Arabidopsis thaliana: one gene and its partners. The protein of the gene in region 2 interacts with the protein of the main gene of each other region in a pairwise test. Each region holds a gene or a part of one and is shown on either strand. Other genes may lie near its edges. The genes, in order: EMB2719, DSS1(I) and BRCA2(IV).

Region 1 (6,446 bases), about 17 Mb from region 2:
GTCTATTCTCTTATTGGGGATTTTGTTGTTTTGTGTCTAGAGAGGTACATTGTCTCCAATGCTAATATATCTTATTAAATAATGCTATAGGTACCAGTGTCCGATTCCTATTGAGATGGTGAAGCCATTGGCTGAGATTGACTACGAAGGGCAAGGTATTTTAGAGTCTCACTCTTAATGACGTTTTTAAGCTCCCTGCCCTGCTGTCTTTTTTAAGTTTTTAAATTATCTCTTTCTTGTAGACGGATCTCCTAGAGGCAGAGGAGGAAGAAGAGGTAGAGGAGGAAGAGGAAGGGGAAGGGGAAGAGGTGGTAGAGGTAGGATTACTTTAGAAATTGTTTATACAGTGTCGTAGTTTCGTTGTAAGCTTTTGCATGTGATTTGTGGATAAGCGTTTGAGTGGACTGTGCTAATTCCTTTTTTCGACTTATCAGGAAATGGACCTGCGAATGTTGAGTATGATGATGGAGGAAGGGGAAGAGGTGGCAGAGGTAGGATATCTTTAGCCAAATCGTATTTGAGTATAGATTTTTGCATATGATTTGTGGATAAGGGTTTGAATGTGTTGTGCTATTTCTTTTTTTGTTTGATTTACCAGGAAACGGATATGTGAACAATGAGTATGATGATGGAGGAAGGGGAAGAGGCGGCAGAGGTAGAATTGCTTTAGAATATTTCTTTCCAAATCTTAGTTTTACCTTTTAACATATTTGCATGTGATCGGCGGACAAGTGTTTGATTGGCTTGTGCTATTTCTTCTTTCGGATTTGCCAGGAAGTGGATATGTGAACAATGAGTATAATGATGGAGGTATGGAGCAGGACCGGTCATATGGCAGAGGACGCGGGCGTGGGAGAGGAGGTGGACGTGGTGGTCGAGGAAGAGGAGGTTACAATGGCCCCCCACCACCTTACTATGAAGCTCAACAAGATGGAGGAGACTATGGATACAACAATGTTGCTCCTCCAGCAGACCATGGATATGATGGTCCTCCGCCTCAGGGACGTGGTACGTTGATGATTTTGTTACACTAATGTTTTCTCATTAAATAATGATGAGTTGTAAATGTTTAAAAATTGTTGGAACAGGACGTGGCCGTGGAAGGGGAGGTCGTGGAAGAGGAGGAGGCCGTGGTGGATTCAACAGATCAAATGGAGCACCTATCCAGGCTGCTGCATGAGCGACCAGGGTCATTGAATGAAGTTGGATCTTTCTTACATTCTCATGTTTTTGTCTCTGTTCTTCAAAGCAACTTGTTGCCGTAGAATAATCTTTCGTTCATGTCGCTTTAGGTTATATATATCCTCATTTATTTTATCATGGATCTTGGATTTTCAAGTTTTTATTCCTTCAAGAGTTTTCTAGTTTTGTCTCTTTTTTGAGTTTTGGATATTTGTTTGACTCCAATTACATTCGTCGGCGTATTGACACTAACAAGTAAACAACCCCCTTTGGCATTGCCTTTTTCCATTGGTTCGTATATCAGTTGATTATATATTCTAACAACATAAAAAGATAACAAGAAAAAATAATGAATAATAAAATTGTAATTCCAAGTTCCAACGTGTTTTGAGACAAAAAGAAATTAACCCAACTTGCGCTGGTTGTGTTTTGGGCTATTCGAAGAAAGCGTACGAAAATAAGTGAGAGAGGTCCAAACAAAACTAGTAACCAAAAAGTTAATCGCCGTTGCCGGGGATCGAACCCGGGCCACCCGCGTGACAGGCGGGAATACTTACCACTATACTACAACGACATTTGTTGCTCAATCGTAATGTAGAAGATATAAATACTAATATGGAAAAAAGCTGTCTTGAACAAAAAGAAATATACTTTTTTTGTTGTGTCCAAAAAAAGGAAAATACTTAGGAAAGAAAAGAGTCTCAGCAGCATCAGCTCGTCCTTAAATCTGATCCATCATCGTCACTTTCTCCCGGCGAATTCCGTTTTATCGATTTAGTAAGCTCTCTGTCTTTATCTCTCCGTCTTTCTCAGTCAACAAATTGGTTGAAACTTCAATCGGTTCCTTGAAATCTCACCGGCTTAGTTGCATACTTCTGCAAAAACCCTAACCTTGTTTTTGTCTTTGTGAAGAGTAACGAGATTTGTGCAAAGATGACTCAGGACGTGGAGATGAAAGATAACAACACCCCTTCTCAATCGATTATCTCTTCTTCTACCTCTACTATGCAGAGTAAATCTCGATCTGAATGCTTTAATTCTCGAACTGTTTTCATAATTGCTAAGTTTCTTCTGGGTTTTGACGCTTTGTTTCTTTGTTTCCCAGATTTGAAGGAGATTGCAGCACTCATCGATACTGGGTCTTACACGAAGGAGGTTCGTCGTATTGCTCGTGCTGTGCGTCTCACTATAGGGCTTAGGCAGAAACTCACCGGCTCTGTGCTCTCTTCCTTCCTGGATTTTGCTTTGGTTCCAGGATCCGAAGCTCACTCTCGCCTCTCTTCCTTTGTTCCTAAGGTATTTGTGGGTTTTACTTCTTCACTTTGATGTTTCAGAATTCTCAACTTGGTTGTTCCTTTTAGCATCTGGCTTTAGGTTGTTTAGATTCGTGTTATGGTTGTTATACTTTCTTTTGATGTTGTGAATGGCAAGTTATCTAACATACAACTGGCTTAGAGACTGAAATATTGGAACTTTTAATGGTTTAGGGTGATGAACATGACATGGAAGTTGATACTGCCTCATCGGCCACACAAGCTGCTCCTTCTAAGCATCTACCTGCAGAGCTCGAGATCTACTGCTACTTCATTGTTCTTCTTTTTCTGATTGATCAGAAGAAGTACAACGAGGTAACTACTGCTGTATCTTTGTGTTTTGTCATAAGTTACTTTTCTGTTGTGATTTTAATTTTAATGAGTTGCTTTTAATCATCTCTTAGGCTAAAGCTTGTTCTTCAGCAAGCATTGCTCGTCTCAAGAACGTCAACCGAAGGACCATTGATGTGATAGCATCAAGACTCTACTTTTACTATTCTTTGAGTTATGAGCAAACCGGTGATCTTGCTGAAATTCGCGGGTTAGTAGCTCAAAGACTGTTTTAGTTTTGTACTTTGTCTTACACCTCATATTAATCAGTAGCTCAATAGTTAATAATCTGGTCATTTTTTCTACCTGCAGTACTCTTCTTGCGTTGCATCATTCTGCAACGCTAAGACACGATGAGCTGGGTCAGGTATGTCTTTGTTTAGCTCATTCAGTCGGCATTCATTATTTTGAAACTGTTACTTGCTTCTTATTCAAATTTATCATGTTGAATGCAGGAAACCCTTCTGAACCTGTTGCTACGTAACTATTTGCATTACAACCTCTATGATCAGGCAGAGAAGCTAAGATCAAAGGCACCTCGCTTTGAGGCTCATTCAAACCAACAGGTAGCTCTTGGCTATTCCTTCATACTCTAAGTTTTCTCGGTTCTCTAGATTCTATATTTGCATGAAAACTCCAATGCCACTTCTGCAATCTTTCCAGAGAATTATTTTTTCTATTCGCTATAGCATTTTCCATCTAGGAGGCTCTTGTGTTTTCTTTTCAATCACTAATTATTTGCCGAACTTACTTGAAGTGTCCATTTTGCCTGTCCTTTTCATACTTCTGACACCACCTCTTACCATTACCATCGATCTACCTTGTGTTTTTCTTTGCTACATATGAATTTTGTTCTTTTTTTAACCCTTCAATTGTTACTGTTTCAAAAGAATAAACAGCAAGATGACTTGTCTAAAACATTATACTTTGCAGTTTTGTAGGTACCTTTTCTATCTCGGGAAGATTCGTACTATTCAGCTCGAATATACGGACGCAAAAGAGAGCCTTCTTCAGGCGGCCAGGAAAGCCCCTATAGCAGCTTTGGGCTTCAGGATCCAATGCAATAAATGGGCAATTCTGGTTCGTCTACTGCTGGGTGAGATACCAGAGCGTTCTATCTTCACTCAAAAGGGTATGGAGAAGGCCCTCAGACCCTACTTCGAGCTAACAAATGTGAGTCCACTTTCATAATCTTGCTGCTGTGACATGTATTCATTAATTTATGAGCGGATAACTAAACTGGTATTAGTATGTGGTCACTTGTGATCTTGCTACTTCACTTCTGATTTTAAACCGGTTCCTACTTTTCACTTACTGGCCTATACACCTCTTCTGTTAAAATCTCTCTGTGGTCACTTGAAACACAATTTTGTTGCTGCTGTTGTTTTCTGCTCCTTCGAATTATATTGAACATGAATTTCTGGCTGTTTACTGTTGCTTTTTAGAGATATATGATGCAACTGGATAGTTGATACTGATTTTGATCTGAGGCTTACTATTAAAGCTCTGTTTTGATTTTACAGGCGGTTAGGATTGGGGACTTGGAGTTGTTTAGGACAGTCCAGGAGAAGTTCTTGGACACATTTGCTCAAGACAGAACGCACAATCTCATCGTGCGACTCCGCCACAATGTCATCAGGACTGGACTGCGGAACATAAGTATCTCCTACTCAAGAATCTCTTTACCCGATGTTGCCAAAAAGCTGAGGCTCAACTCTGAAAACCCTGTGGCTGATGCGGAAAGCATCGTGGCAAAGGCCATACGCGACGGAGCTATTGATGCTACAATCGATCACAAAAACGGATGCATGGTCTCCAAAGAAACTGGGGACATCTACTCGACGAATGAGCCACAAACTGCGTTCAACTCAAGAATTGCTTTCTGCCTCAACATGCATAACGAAGCTGTCAGAGCATTGAGGTTTCCTCCTAACACTCACAAGGAGAAAGAAAGCGATGAGAAGAGGAGAGAGAGGAAGCAACAGGAAGAAGAGCTTGCTAAGCATATGGCTGAGGAAGACGATGATGATTTTTAGACAAAGGTCATCTATTTCTTATAAGAGTTGACTCTCCATCTGTCTCACTTTTTTTATGTTCACAAGTTTACTTGGTACTCTTCTCATCGTCTCTAAGTGTTTCTTTATTGAGGATTTTTATCCTCAGGAACCTTTTTATTACTCTGGTTTCACTTTAGGAAAAGATATTTATCTTGTTGGTTTCAGAAGATCAAATTCAACTTCGTTTAATTGTGTTTGGGAGATTTTCGCATTTTAAGAATTGAACACTTGTAGTTATAGCTAGCTGTATTAGGTGGGTCATTATTAGAAATTGACCATGTGAAATGCTATCATCTCCAGGCGATGCATACCATTAAAATCCACATTCATAATTTACATTAAATGATAGATAAGCAGTCATAAATATCTAAAGAATGAAAACAGGACATGTGTATTGACCATTATGTGTATTGATACATTAGTCTATCTCTGCCAAACTAGGTCTCATTTTCTTGAATAAAACAATCTCATGTTATGCTTTTAATTATAGGTGTTTCTGGTTCGATTCATTAACTTCTTAATAATGACAAAAATCTGTAGAATAATACCCGGGCTCTTTGATAGCTACAACTGCCAACTATTTAATCCATACAATCAAAATGTAATTTTCATAATTGTAGATTTGTAATGGGTCAATATATTCTTACACTCTAATCATATCCAAACAAGCTCCTCAATTCCTTAATCTTGTTGTATCCAGTATCCATATTTTGTTTTCTTACTGCGGAAGTTACTTGGTAGTGTAGTCTGGATTTCGGATTGCAGACTTTGCAGTCCACGATTTTTCATATGTTGGTGACAACGAACAAGTGTTAAGTTGACGGAAGTGTTCGTAACAAACGACGTCGTGACGGTGATCTTCATCAACTTTGATTGGAAATCAAGTTTTGAGGGACAATTAACCCAAAAAAATAATCATAATGATAATGAAAGAGATTTGGCGTGTTGCTAATAATGTAGGACAAGTGAGCATGTGAGAGTCTGTGACCGATGAACCTGCTCAGACCAACCTGCACATGATTGTATCACAAACAAAAAACTCTCATTTGTCTTTCTTTCGTCTTACTTTATTCATTTTAAGCAAAAATTAAATATCCACCGCGTTGCACAAGAAATCATTTACCCATATGATTATTCTCTTAGTTTTGAATTTTTGATGACCATGCTGATTTAAAATTTGCAATCTTACAATAACTTTAACTTATGTATAAAAAAAAATGCTGCATCAACCAATAAAACAAAACTTTAGGATTACAAATGTTTGGCTATGAGTAAATCAAGATATTATCTGCTTCAAGTCTCTTTTTCTTATATAATTTCAGAGGAAAATGTTTATATATAGTTCAAAGCAATATTAGTGTAACCAAAGGTAAATTTTGTATGAACTTTTTGGAGGAATAGAAATCCATCTGCAGCATTATTACAAACAGAGTTTGCAGATCTACTGTCTTTTTTTGGACTTATACTGTTACTAACAAAAATACACATGTAAGAGATTTGCCCAAATAAATAAATTAAAGATACACACAGGCTAGATAAAGATAAGACCACATGTAAGGTTTTT
Region 2 (4,848 bases):
GTTTCTACAGCAGTTGTGGAGCCGTATAACAGTGTTCTCTCGACTCATTCTCTTCTCGAACACACAGATGTTGTTGTTCTTTTGGACAATGAAGCCATATACGATATCTGCAGGAGATCTTTAGACATTGAGAGGCCTACATACTCCAATTTGAACCGCTTGATCTCCCAAACCATCTCTTCGCTTACAACTTCTCTAAGATTTGACGGTGCCATCAATGTGGACATCACCGAGTTCCAGACCAACCTTGTACCTTACCCTCGGATCCACTTCATGCTCTCCTCTTATGCACCTGTGATTTCATCTGCAAAGGCCTACCATGAGCAGTTTTCGGTCCCTGAGATCACGACTTCCGTCTTTGAACCCTCCAATATGATGGCTAAATGTGACCCTAGGCATGGCAAGTACATGGCTTGCTGTTTGATGTATCGTGGTGACGTTGTGCCCAAGGATGTCAATACAGCCGTTGCTGCCATCAAAGCCAAACGAACAATTCAGTTTGTTGACTGGTAAAGAGCTCACACTACTAGTGTTTCTTTCTCTCTTAAGTCTCCTTCTACTACACATTTCAAATCTTTGGTCATGTTAAAATTAGGTGCCCAACTGGATTCAAGTGCGGGATAAACTACCAGCCGCCTTCCGTTGTTCCAGGTGGTGACCTGGCTAAGGTTCAACGAGCGGTTTGCATGATCAGCAATAATACTGCAGTTGCTGAAGTGTTCTCACGTATAGACCATAAGTTTGATCTCATGTACTCCAAAAGAGCCTTTGTCCATTGGTATGTAGGAGAGGGTATGGAAGAAGGAGAGTTCTCTGAGGCTCGTGAGGATCTTGCTGCCCTCGAGAAAGATTATGAGGAAGTTGGTGGAGAAGGAGCGGAGGACGACGACGAAGAAGGCGATGAGTATTAGAAAGACACAAGAGTGTGTGTTCCCTTGTTTCTTTCTTGTGAAGTACAGTAATTATGTCTTTGTGAATGTGATCTCTACAGTTATTTTGTGATGTTTACGGGTCTCTCCCCTTTTATTTCTCATTTGTGTTTACTAAAGGATTGCATTTCTAGTGCATCTCAATACATAGTTTGAAGGATTTTTGGCATTTCAAATACCGTTTACGCTCTAATAAAGATCCTTGTAAGAAAATGTACATAGTAAGTTAGTAACTAATCCATGTCCATACGGAACACACCGCAATGGATGTTGAGAGAAGATGATGATCTTACCAGTTTAAATTTATCATCTTCAAAGATAAGAAATTTCCATCCAGGGAATAGTAAAATGTGCAAAGGAAAAGCAGAACCGATAACATAAACCAAAGGATGCAGTACAAACAAAGTTCCAGATCATAAAAGAAAACCAAGATTTCCTAAATGTGAAGACCTGTCTTTCACAATCTTCGACCTTATTTCTTGTCAGTACCATTCTCAAGCTCCTTCCTTAACTGACGTGAGAAGTCGTCATTGACATCATCATCATCCCAGTCATCTTCCCACTGCTGGCTAACTTCCTTCACTTCTTCTTTCTCCAACCAATCTGCCCAACATAAAAAGATCCATCAGTATTTACTTTGACCGTAAAAGGACAGCAAAAACATCCATTCCACATCCAACTACACAACTCATACAAACAGAAACCCTCTTTATCAATTCTTTCAATAAAACTATTAGTAAAATCACAAAGCAAAATCTGTTAAACCTTTAGGCTACTCAATGCCCTCAAATAATTCCCAAATCCTCAATAACCTTTAGGCTTTAGTAAATGAAGCGTTGACTATTAAGACTAAACCTAATCATCAATAAGTTGCTGAAAAAAACTGCTCTTTTATCCATTTAGTAAGTATGAGACTATAGCTTCATTGTTAGAACTATATGAAAAAAGATCTATCAACCTATCTCACACCTGAAATTGACATCAAACAGATTCGTTTTCATATCAGACCTACTCAACTCATACACTAGTCCATCTTTATCAATCCTTTCAATACAACTACTAGTTAAATCTGAAGAATCAACTAACTTGCAAATCAAAATCTATTAAAATCAGAATCTGATACAATTCATACAAATAATTCTCAATTCAACCATATAAAGCATTGCCTGTATCTATCAATCAGTTGCTAATGAAAATCGCTCTTATATCTATGGCATCGTAGCTTCATCGTTAAGACTATAAAACCGATGATGAATCGATTCAAAAATCGAAGAAGAAACAAGTAATAACAACAAAAATTTTACCTTCGTTAATTTCAAATTCCTCGAACTCATCGTCGTCCTCAAACAGATCCATCTTTACTACTTCAGCAGTCGCTGCCTTCGGTTCTGCCGCCATAGTTACAGATTGTTAAAGGAACCAACCAGATCGAGATAACCTAAGAAGAAGAAGAGGAAGACGAAAACTCGATAAAATTTTCCAAGTTATTATTGCAAAAGCATGGAATTGATAATGATGAAACCCTAACCTCTCTGAGAGCTTTAACGAGAGAGTAAGCGAACTTTTGTTTTTCTTAAGAGAAGAAGCAAATAATAAAGGGAAGGTTTTTTCTTTTTGTATAGAACCGGTTCGACCGTGTTTTCCTTTTTGTGAATTTGTAAAATTTGATGGTTTTCTATTTATTTTTTAATTGCTAAAAGAAATTGTAACATTAATGAATTTGTAAAATAAAACTGTAGTGTAAAACTGTATTAAAATATCGATAGAACAAGTATCTGGATATTCCGATTTATCTAGGATTCAACTTCTAAGAACATGGACAAAAGAATCATTGTAATATATATATCTGTAAGAAAACAATTAGGCTCACAAAACCTCACTAAGTTCAACAAATTCAATCTAACCTCAAAACATCATCCCTGATAACAGAAACCAAACGATCAACACAACCAAAGAATAAGACGAACAAGAAAAAGAAGAGGCTGAGGAAGCCACAATCTGAATAGGGAAATTGCATTGTCCTTGAGATATATTCTGCGTTGTAATGGTGGCCAAACCTTGAAAATAGCAAGCACTCTCATCTTGATTCTTCACTTGAAAGAACATGTTAAACGCATACGACGCGTTTCCATTTGCATCAAGAGTATTGCAAGAAGATCCGTATCCAAGCGCCGTGCAATCAGAGAAAGTGCAGGCGTAATCTATATTAGCCGCGAGTTTTGTCAAGTCCTTGGCTTCTGGATTAAACGTACACCACTTGTTGGGTAGATACGGCACGTTTTGTGCACCAATCAAGAACTTACTCTGTCCTTGACCTGAAAGATCTATAGGAAACTTTGGTTGCCCGTCGAATTTAAATATTCCCCAATGGCGTTCGAACGGTCCCGGTGCTATACTTTTTGCATCCTCGTCGAGTAATCCGAACAAGTATACCTCAATGTAGGTTGGTCTCAATGGAGTTCCTTTGTTTGTTCCAAGCCTCGGTAAAAGCCCGTTGTAGAATCTGTAAGCACTGCCTGTGAAAAAACCGTTTTCAAAATCAAAACTAAAACACTTCATAAAGGATAAAAATCCATCTAAAGAAGGTCAGATATCAACCTGCATTAGCGTGTTTGTCACCCTCTGTTGGCCAACCAACTTCTCCAACGATTATTGGCATATCTCCGTGACCAACAGCTTTCAAAGACGACACCAAAGTATCGAAATTGGCATCGAAAACGTTTGTATAATCAATACCGTTGTCGTTTATCGGTTCAGCACCATCGAAGAAGGCGTAGTTGAGTGGGAAATCATCATTCCCATAGAGACTTAAGAAAGGGTAGATGTTAATTGTGATGGGAGCATTGTTCTTGCCAAGAAAGTCAACAATCTGAGTCATTTGACCGATGATATCGGGACGGAATCTTCCTGCAGATGGAACGGGATTGCTTGCTGGTGAATCGTATACATCCGCGTTTAAAGGGACTGTTGCTTTGACAGAGTTTCCTAGTCCGGCTTCATTTAAAGCGTTTTGAATGTTCGCAAGTGCAGGGAATGTGAGGTTTATGAACGATCCATTGTATGATTTGAGGAATGGCTCATTCCCAACAGCTACAAACCTGAAACACATCCACAAGTGATTAGCTTCACTGAGACATGTAAACACATTTTTCTCTAAACATGTTCTGCATTTTGACAGTACTGTTAAAAGATTTGACTTTTATAGATATAAATACATTTTAGTGGAAACAGGTTCTGCATTTGACAGTAGTGTTAAAAGATATTTGATTTCATAATCAGACAACACAGATTTCACCAGACATTGAAAATCAACCCTAAACATCCAATCTTCAGAAACAAACATATATAGCTAGACACATTTTGTCTATAGACATAACTCACTCATGGTTATGCATTTGGCAATGTCATAAACTAAACAACCATGGGTTTATGAGGTTTCGACAAACAAACACAAAGAATGTTAATTTTGACGTTTAGACAAACACTACAACCAATCAATAACAATAACATTGAGACAGAACAGAGAGGAAGAGAGACAAACTCACGTGATATTGACACCACCATCGAAGTTATAACGAGTGACATTCTTACGAACCCAATCTTTGGCTCGGTCGTAACTAGTCATAACCTTAAGCTGATCATTGGGAATAGCGACCATCACTTCAAGACCCGATCCAGCGAGTGCACCCATGGTTGTCTCGTCCGCATCAAAAAGCTTAACTTTGTTGATGTTATTGTCTTTAAGCATCTGAACCACTGTCTTTGGAGGTAGCTTATGTGTAGCCATTGTTCCCCAATTCACACCCAACCCATTTACCAAAATACCCAAATGACCAATTACGATTACGAATCCGACGACGAGAGCCAACAGATTCGACATCGATTTTCACCTGAGAAAGATCGAAAAGGTGAGATTTTA
Region 3 (8,585 bases), on a different chromosome or scaffold from region 2:
TCATCTAATAATGATGCTTGCTTTGCCAATTGTTTTACAGGCTAAGAAAGAGGTGACGACTGTGGAGGATCCTTTTGATTCTCCTACATACCACATCCCGGAGAAGCCGGTGACCTTTACAGAAGGTGCGTCCTACAGTCTTGTTATTCTGGCTGGGCTTGGTGTCGCTGGAGCTGCTGGCTACGGTGTGTTTAAAGAGCTCATTTTTCAACCAAAAGAGTGAGGCTTCAGAAATCTAATTTGATTTATCTGCTCAGACACTTGGATTTGAGTAATCTAAAGACACCATTATGTATTCTAGGTACAAGGTCTTTGACAAAGCCTTGAAGAGAATTCAAGATGATGGTCAGGTAATTAGAAACTAACTCTACAGATTGATCATAGCGGAGGGGTGGTGTATGAAACAAAAGCATCTGTTTATAAAATGAAACAATTTCTGTGACTGTGATTGTCTTGTTAACTAGGTGAGGGTTAGGATTGGATCCCCCATCAAAGGCTATGGACAAGAAACTAGAAACCGAGCTGCTCGTCAACGTATACCCAACAGAGTATTTACAGATGAAGACGGAGTGGAGCATGTTGAGGTATTTCATTGTAGAACCTCTATTGCGCTTGGATTCACATTCTTGCTATATAAATTGTCTAGAGTTTTGCAGGTTTAACATGATCAAAATTGAATATGCTTCAGGTAAACTTCTACATCCGTGGGCCTCAAGGAGCAGGGAAAGTGTACACGGAGATGTTTAAAGACAAGGCAGAGAAGGAATGGAAATACACGTACCTGATCGTAGAGATTTTAACACCTTCCCCAGCCAAATTGATGCTGGAGTCTTATTTGCCTGCCTAAAGCACTCGTATTTATGACTCAGCAGATCCGGAAAACATTCAGAAACGGCTTAGATTGTTTTAGTTGGGGTGTTGGAGAAAAGAGAGAGAATTGTGTTACACATGAGCTGTAGGAATGACTTCTTATCAAGCAACTGTTTGCTAATTGAAAAACAAGTCTAAACTGTGTTTATGATCCTCTTGGGGATGTCTAGGATTTTGAACCGAATTCAAGTTTGAGGCTTGATAATATTTTTATGCGTAAACATGAAACAGAGACATGGAGAATGCATATATCATGAAGCATCAAGTATACAATAGAGGCAATCATGGATCAAACGGTGTTTATGGTATCAGTAAGACAGCGGAGAATGCAACCGGGACCAACTCTCTCTCTGAGTTTCCCCGAGCCATCAAGGCTACAAACATCTCGACTACAAGGGCCAATCAAATTACATAATCACGGAAAAAACAAGGATAGATACAAGCAAACCTAACACTCGAGCAATAATTTGAGTAATAGAAACAAGAAACCAGAAATCGAAACGAAACGGAACGAAACACAAGATTTCCTAATTAATCTTGTGTTTAATTAAGAAAAGAAAACACAAAAAAGTTGAAAGGTTTAGTGGTGCATCCACGTAGCAAGACATTTTAGGTGTACGTCGACCATATTGTTGGCCGTTTATAGAGCATCATCCACTCTCCTCGACGAGCAAGATCATGCCGCCTCTGGATTCTTCTCATTCATCGGTGTTCCTGCGATCCCCTCCGTAGCACCCTCCGCCTCCTCAGCGCCTTCCCCGTGTAAATTACCGTTCTGCATGTTTAGAAATTTGACGTGGAAATTGTTGCAATGTAACTTTCTGTGATACTTGGCTATTGTTGCAATGTAATTTTCATTGAAGTCAGTCACCAATGACCATTGAACAGATGTTTTAAAATGTCCACGTAAGCAATTGTTGTTTGGAACGATTTTCGGTTAGCATTCGTGCCTTTTTTACCTCAATAAAAGGCCGTGGCATTAACTCACTTGTCTTGAGACGTTATGTCGTTAAAACCAAGCCCAAAGTTAATTTCGGCCCAAATCGTTTTCAACTTTCCCGCCGTCTTTTAACTTTTTAGATTTTTGGTGATGGTTTTGGGGGGAAAGAAAACAGAAAATATAAAAATAAAATTTCCGCACTCCCGACTCTTGGTGTGGTAGGCAATTCTGAATCGCGAGGTTTAGTTCTCCGGCTGAATCAGAGAACGACGAGTCGGAAAAATTCGAAACTCTAGAACTGAATAAATGTCGACGTGGCAATTATTTCCCGATTCCAGCGGCGATGGTTTCCGGTGGGAAGTCGCTGGCCGGATTCTTCAGTCCGTCTCGGATTCTACGCCAACCAAGGCGCTCGAATCGACAGCTCCTCTACCTTCTATGGCCGATCTCTTGCTCCAAGGTGATTCTTCGTTTCTTCCTTTTTTTGTCGAATCGTGTTTGTCATGTGACTCAAAGGAGATTGAATTATTATTTGATGCTTCAAGGATGCTCGAAGCTTATAGCACGGGAAGAAGCGATGCCTGGGGAAATCCCAATGTTCAGGACTGGGCTAGGGAAGTCTGTAGTTCTTAAAGAGTCTTCGATTGCTAAAGCCAAATCCATTTTAGCAGAGAAGGTTACTTACTCAGGTACTTTATGTGACAGTATTGAATTCCCTTGACTAGTCATTTGTTTCTGAATTCCCTTGAATTGTTACTTAATGTTGGTGAAAATGGTTTCCTGAAAATCTTTTGAATGTTCCATGTTCTTGGCTACACTTTAGATTTGCGGAACACAAATTGCTCAATTCCCCAAATGAGACAAGTGGATACAGCTGAAACTTTGCCAATGTTCAGGACGGCCTCGGGGAAATCTGTCCCTTTGAAAGAGTCTTCAATTGCCAAAGCTATGTCTATTCTAGGAAGTGATAAGATTATTGACTCAGGTGTGTTCTTATCTCCTCTTTTTTAAAGTCTTATTTCCAGTATAGCTGTGTGCGCGTTTACATATGAACTTGTTCTTTGTGCTGCTACTCCGTTCAACTTCCAGGTTCTTGAGTTTGGTTGTTATCAGATGAAATGATGAATAGTGAAGAACTAATCAACACACATCTTACTTCGTTTAGAGGATGAATATTAGAAGTGACATTTTTTCATAGTTTATTTGTTAATAAGATTCTTTTTGATTGTGTAGACAACGTTCTTCCCAGGGAGAGTGGATTTGGAGTTTCCAACAGTCTTTTTCAGACAGCTTCCAACAAAAAGGTTAATGTATCTTCTGCCGGTTTAGCAAGGGCCAAGGCATTGTTAGGACTAGAAGAAGATGATTTGAATGGATTTAACCATGTGAACCAGTCGTCTTCTTCCTCCCAGCAACATGGGTGGTCCGGATTAAAAACTCATGAGGAGTTTGATGCTACAGTAGTTAAGCATCATTCAGGAACTCCAGGACAATATGAGGATTATGTATCTGGGAAGAGATCTGAAGTCTTAAATCCATCTTTAAAGGTGCCTCCAACAAAGTTTCAGACTGCTGGTGGAAAATCATTGTCAGTGTCAGCTGAGGCGTTAAAACGTGCCAGAAACCTTCTTGGTGACCCTGAATTAGGGTCTTTCTTTGATGATGTAGCTGGAGGTGATCAATTTTTTACACCAGAGAAAGATGAAAGGTTAAGTGATATTGCTATAAACAATGGAAGTGCCAACAGAGGTTATATTGCTCATGAAGAAAAGACAAGCAACAAACATACGCCAAATAGTTTTGTATCTCCTCTTTGGTCATCTTCAAAGCAATTTAGTTCAGTCAACTTGGAGAACCTAGCTTCAGGGGGTAATTTGATCAAGAAATTTGATGCGGCTGTTGATGAGACCGATTGTGCTCTGAATGCTACACATGGACTATCAAATAACAGGTCTTTGGCATCAGATATGGCAGTGAATAATTCCAAGGTAAACGGTTTCATTCCAAGAGGTAGGCAACCTGGAAGGCCTGCTGATCAGCCACTTGTTGATATAACAAATCGCAGAGATACAGCTTATGCATACAATAAACAAGACAGTACCCAAAAGAAAAGGCTGGGAAAGACAGTCTCCGTTTCTCCTTTCAAAAGGCCAAGGATTTCATCCTTTAAAACTCCTTCAAAGAAACATGCTCTGCAAGCTTCAAGTGGTAATATATATGATTAATTTTTTTAAGAATTTTTTATGTTAATCTAATTGGTTGGTTCTCAGGTTTATAGTTTTGGTGTCCTGTCTATTATCAGGTTTGTCTGTTGTATCGTGTGATACACTTACTTCCAAAAAGGTGCTTTCTACAAGGTATCCAGAAAAGTCTCCAAGAGTATATATCAAGGACTTTTTTGGAATGCATCCAACAGCTACGACCAGGGTAAATTCTTTTTGTCCCTTTCAACTGTTCCTGCGTTACATAGCTTTTTTCTTCATTCACTCAAACACACTTACGAGGTGGTTTTTAGATGGATTATGTGCCAGACCATGTCAGAAGAATCAAATCAAGTAATGCAGATAAATATGTATTCTGTGATGAGTCTTCTTCAAACAAGGTTGGAGCTGAAACTTTTCTTCAAATGTTGGCTGAGTCTGGTGCTTCCTTACAACATGCATCCAGAAAGTACTTTCTCTGTCCCTTGAAATGTTAACCGTGTTATTTGTTTATTATATCAGAAAAAGTGTGTGACCGTTCTTTTGAAGCTTGCATGTGATTGTCACTCTATTAGATAGACAGTGAGTATTGATGTCTATATCTATTAACTTATCCATCACTACGTATGCACTAGGTGGGTCACTAATCACTATAGGTGGATAGTCTGGAAACTTGCATGCTACGACATATACTACCCAGCCAAATGCAGAGGAAACTTTCTGACAATCACCAATGTTCTTGAGGAACTAAAATACAGGTTTCCCAGTCTCACAACACAACTCGTTACTTAAACTCATGCAAAGTCTAACATGGTTAATCTTTCTTAATAGATATGAGAGAGAGGTCAATCATGGTCATTGCTCTGCAATCAAGAGGATTCTGAGTGGTGATGCTCCAGCTTCTTCAATGATGGTGCTCTGCATATCAGCTATTAATCCAAAGACCGATAATGATTCTCAGGAAGCACATTGTTCTGATAGTTGCAGCAATGTGAAAGTAGAACTCACTGATGGGTGGTATGAAATTGCTACTGCTATTCTGTTACCTGTTTTCTTGACTCATTTCCATATGATTTTTTTTAAAAAAATCACAGGTACTCGATGAATGCTGCTCTGGATGTCGTACTAACAAAGCAGCTGAATGCTGGCAAATTGTTTGTCGGGCAGAAGCTTCGAGTAAGTTATTTTCATGCAAGATATACTTTGTTTTGCAACACAGATTTTGGTTAGATCACTGACTTGCAGCATGCTTACGTTCTTATCTCTTATCTGAAGATCCTCGGGGCAGGACTTTCTGGCTGGGCTACCCCAACATCACCACTTGAGGTTTCCTAGACTTTGCATTTTATAAGATTTTCTGATATCTTCTCAGGTTGGTTTGTTCATAAGAGTTTCATTCAACCAAACTTTCAGGCAGTGATTTCAAGTACAATCTGTTTGTTGTTGAATATTAATGGGACATACAGAGCTCACTGGGCGGACCGACTAGGCTTCTGTAAGTAGCTTTATGCTGTGGGCCTCACTACATCATCTGAGTTCTTATTGCTTTCATATTGTTATCTTTCCATTGATCGTTTATAATCTCTTCCTTCCTCAAGGTAAAGAAATTGGTGTCCCTCTGGCTTTAAATTGTATCAAGTGCAATGGGGGTCCAGTGCCTAAAACGCTAGCTGGCATCAAACGAATATACCCCATCCTATACAAGGAAAGGTCAATATAAATGTGTGCCTGTTAATGCATTTTGGTCTTCTTTATACTTCTCGCAAAGCATTATATTTTCTTGATGTATACAGGTTAGGTGAAAAGAAGTCAATAGTTCGATCAGAGAGAATAGAAAGTAGAATTATACAGCTGCATAATCAGAGGCAAGTTTCCTTATAACTGTAGAGAGCAATTTTTAGTAACATTGATGTGATCAATTTAGCACATGCATCTCTTTCTAAGAAGTGTCAGATTAACTCATCAAAGCTAGAGACATTTTGTTACATACAACAATTTGGTGGCGTCACCAAGTTGCAGCCTTGAACCATTTGCTCTTTTCATTTTAAATCCTAACATGTTATAGAGCATATAATTATAATTATCATGCGCAAATCGGCATGTATCAATTTAGTTATATTTATCATGTGCAATTGTGCATGTATCAGTTTACATACATTATATTATCATGCAGATTATGGGAATCTTAGCGGTTCAAACGTCTTAAAGTACTGCATAACTACATATAGTTTGACTATACATAACTACTTATTTATGGCTATGATCGTAAATTTTAGTATAAATGCAATATTCACTGTTAGAATACGATATTCAAATTCGTTTTCAGAATTCAGAGAACAAAAAGTAGATAAAGTGACCTTGGTTTATGTTGTTTTGGTCAAATTTATCGTTTATAAGTTTGCTAGCTAATGTTATACTATTTGCTAACATATAATTAAATGTTGAGTGCTAATCTCGAATTTTTTATTAGAAAAGACAATCTTTGTATTTATTAGAAAAGCTTCTGGCCTTCTGATTATGGATGGTTTTCCCAACAAAAGAGCCAAAGATTGCAGTTCGTCATGGTTTATTCTCATTCATACTTGCCTTTTTTTTTTCTTTCTATTTTCCGTAGGCGCTCAGCTCTTGTTGAGGGTATTATGTGTGAGTACCAGAGAGGAATTAATGGTGTTCACAGCCAGAACGACACTGACAGCGAAGAAGGAGCCAAGATCTTTAAGCTGTTAGAGACGGCTGCTGAACCTGAATTTCTTATGGCAGAAATGAGCCCAGAGCAGTTGAGATCTTTCACTACATATAAAGCAAAATTTGAGGTAGAATAGTAATTTCCTTTTCTTGATATATTGATTACAGTAATTAACTGCTTCAATCTGAACCTCAGGCAGCCCAGCAAATGCGGAAGGAAAAATCAGTGGCAGAAACTCTGGAAGACGCTGGTTTAGGTGAAAGGAACGTCACCCCGTTCATGAGGATTAGGCTTGTTGGCCTGACGAGCTTAAGTTATGAAGGAGAGCACAATCCAAAAGAAGGCATTGTAACAATCTGGGATCCCACGGAGAGACAGGTACATTCAAATGCCTAAATCTGAATGTTTCATGCACAATTTAAAACAAGGCATTTTTCTAATGGCTAATAAGTTTACACGGACCTTATCCATATGAGCTTATATGGAACGGGGAGTTCCAAATATAAGCTTTTCAGAGTTGCTGTGGACCTCGAATGGACTGAAATGCATATCAAAGAATCGTTACCATCACTGTACTGTTGCATTAAGAGCATCATCGATTAGCTTGTTCAACTTTTTTCTTGTAGATTCTTAAAACAGTTATCATTGTCTACTACTGTGACAGAGAACCGAGCTGACAGAGGGGAAAATATACATGATGAAAGGGCTAGTACCAATAAACTCAGATTCAGAAATACTTTACTTACATGCGAGAGGGTCAAGCTCAAGATGGCAGCCTTTGTCTCCTAAAGATTCTGAAAATTTTCAGTAAGTGGTTTTCTTTAGTAGACACACTGGAATCTATCTCATTAATTTGTTCAATTTCCCTGATGATGTTTTCAGGCCCTTTTTCAACCCTCGTAAACCAATCTCTTTGTCAAATCTTGGTGAAATTCCTCTTTCAAGGTTAATCTCAGTAGTCCAAGCTTTTTATGAAACACTCTTTACCGCACTTTGCTAATCTATACCCTGTCATCTCTAATTATGTCCTTCAGTGAATTTGATATCGCTGCGTACGTTGTATATGTTGGAAATGCATACACGGATGTTCTACAAAAGAAGCAGTGGGTGTTTGTGACAGATGGATCCGCACAACATTCAGGGGAAATCTCAAACAGTCTTCTTGCTATAAGCTTCAGCACCTCATTCATGGATGATAGCTCTGTTTCCCACATCAGCCATAATTTGGTTGGATCCGTGGTATGTACAAATTCTAATCTTTGTCTAGTTTTACACAGAGAGAATATGCACCAAGAGATTAAATTTTGAAAAATATATGCTTGTTATGGGTCTTAATTTTTGGCAGGTCGGATTTTGCAATCTAATTAAAAGAGCAAAGGATGTGACAAACGAAATTTGGGTTGCTGAGGCAGCAGAGAACTCAGTCTACTTCATAAACGCAGAAGCTGCCTACTCTTCTCACCTCAAAACCAGCAGTGCCCATATCCAAACATGGGCTAAGCTCTCTTCTTCCAAATCCGTTCGTTCTCGTCGACTTCCTCTTTCTATAATTATTCGGTTCAAAAAGATTGGTCTTTTGTATTAAGCCTTCTTGGTTTGCTCAATTTTCAGGTCATTCATGAACTTCGGCAAAGAGTCTTATCTATAATCGGTGCTTGTAAATCACCTTCATGCTGAAGATAAATCATACCCCACCTCTTCTCTTAAGTTTTGTTTATAAGTTATCTAACCCTCTGCTGATTGTATCTATTAAAGCCCATTTTGCTACATCAATTTCTGAAATTTGAAATGTATGATCTACTCTCATTGATCAAGTAACTTTGAATTATTTTGTGTTGTAAACATATCTAAAGGTTTGATGAAGTTGCATTAAGAAATAACATTTATG

Evidence for each region.
Region 1: the proteins of DSS1(I) (region 2) and EMB2719 interact in a two-hybrid assay, tested with the Arabidopsis thaliana proteins (one study listed by BioGRID).
Region 3: the proteins of DSS1(I) (region 2) and BRCA2(IV) interact in a two-hybrid assay, tested with the Arabidopsis thaliana proteins (one study listed by BioGRID).

The regions. Positions count from the first base shown.
Region 1 is NC_003070.9:6,999,824-7,006,269, reverse strand, and holds EMB2719 (PAM domain (PCI/PINT associated module) protein), read left to right. Parts: upstream 1-1,837; 5' UTR 1,838-1,959; intron 1,960-2,094; 5' UTR 2,095-2,115; coding exon 2,116-2,194; intron 2,195-2,287; coding exon 2,288-2,478; intron 2,479-2,669; coding exon 2,670-2,810; intron 2,811-2,899; coding exon 2,900-3,036; intron 3,037-3,137; coding exon 3,138-3,192; intron 3,193-3,280; coding exon 3,281-3,391; intron 3,392-3,758; coding exon 3,759-3,998; intron 3,999-4,348; coding exon 4,349-4,861; 3' UTR 4,862-5,183; downstream 5,184-6,446. Other genes in the region: AT1G20220 (Alba DNA/RNA-binding protein), read left to right, coding at 91-155, 243-317, 435-491, 599-655, 775-1,008, 1,089-1,180. UniProt on the Arabidopsis thaliana protein: Acts as a regulatory subunit of the 26 proteasome which is involved in the ATP-dependent degradation of ubiquitinated proteins.
Region 2 is NC_003070.9:24,051,386-24,056,233, forward strand, and holds DSS1(I) (deletion of SUV3 suppressor 1(I)), read right to left. Parts: upstream 2,524-4,848; 5' UTR 2,458-2,523; exon of another isoform or gene 2,368-2,457; 5' UTR 2,328-2,367; coding exon 2,234-2,327; intron 2,011-2,233; coding exon 1,888-2,010; intron 1,533-1,887; coding exon 1,402-1,532; 3' UTR 977-1,401; downstream 1-976. Other genes in the region: TUA1 (alpha-1 tubulin), read left to right, coding at 1-509, 596-911; AT1G64760 (O-Glycosyl hydrolases family 17 protein), read right to left, coding at 2,835-3,445, 3,528-4,027, 4,475-4,809. UniProt on the Arabidopsis thaliana protein: Subunit of the 26S proteasome which plays a role in ubiquitin-dependent proteolysis.
Region 3 is NC_003075.7:3,896-12,480, reverse strand, and holds the start of BRCA2(IV) (BREAST CANCER 2 like 2A), read left to right. Parts: upstream 1-2,116; coding exon 2,117-2,270; intron 2,271-2,355; coding exon 2,356-2,499; intron 2,500-2,633; coding exon 2,634-2,795; intron 2,796-3,043; coding exon 3,044-4,018; intron 4,019-4,112; coding exon 4,113-4,237; intron 4,238-4,325; coding exon 4,326-4,452; coding exon of another isoform or gene 4,453-4,480; intron 4,481-4,533; coding exon 4,534-4,567; intron 4,568-4,646; coding exon of another isoform or gene 4,647-4,667; coding exon 4,668-4,769; intron 4,770-4,842; coding exon 4,843-5,028; intron 5,029-5,105; coding exon 5,106-5,187; intron 5,188-5,286; coding exon 5,287-5,337; intron 5,338-5,424; coding exon 5,425-5,506; intron 5,507-5,609; coding exon 5,610-5,721; intron 5,722-5,804; coding exon 5,805-5,876; intron 5,877-6,625; coding exon 6,626-6,824; intron 6,825-6,892; coding exon 6,893-7,075; intron 7,076-7,361; coding exon 7,362-7,504; coding exon of another isoform or gene 7,505-7,508; exon of another isoform or gene 7,509-7,579; coding exon 7,580-7,642; intron 7,643-7,731; and 10 more. Other genes in the region: SD3 (import inner membrane translocase subunit), read left to right, coding at 41-219, 302-350, 465-584, 689-847. UniProt on the Arabidopsis thaliana protein: Involved in double-strand break repair and/or homologous recombination by mediating RAD51- and DMC1-facilitated DNA repair. Plays an essential role in both somatic and meiotic homologous recombination.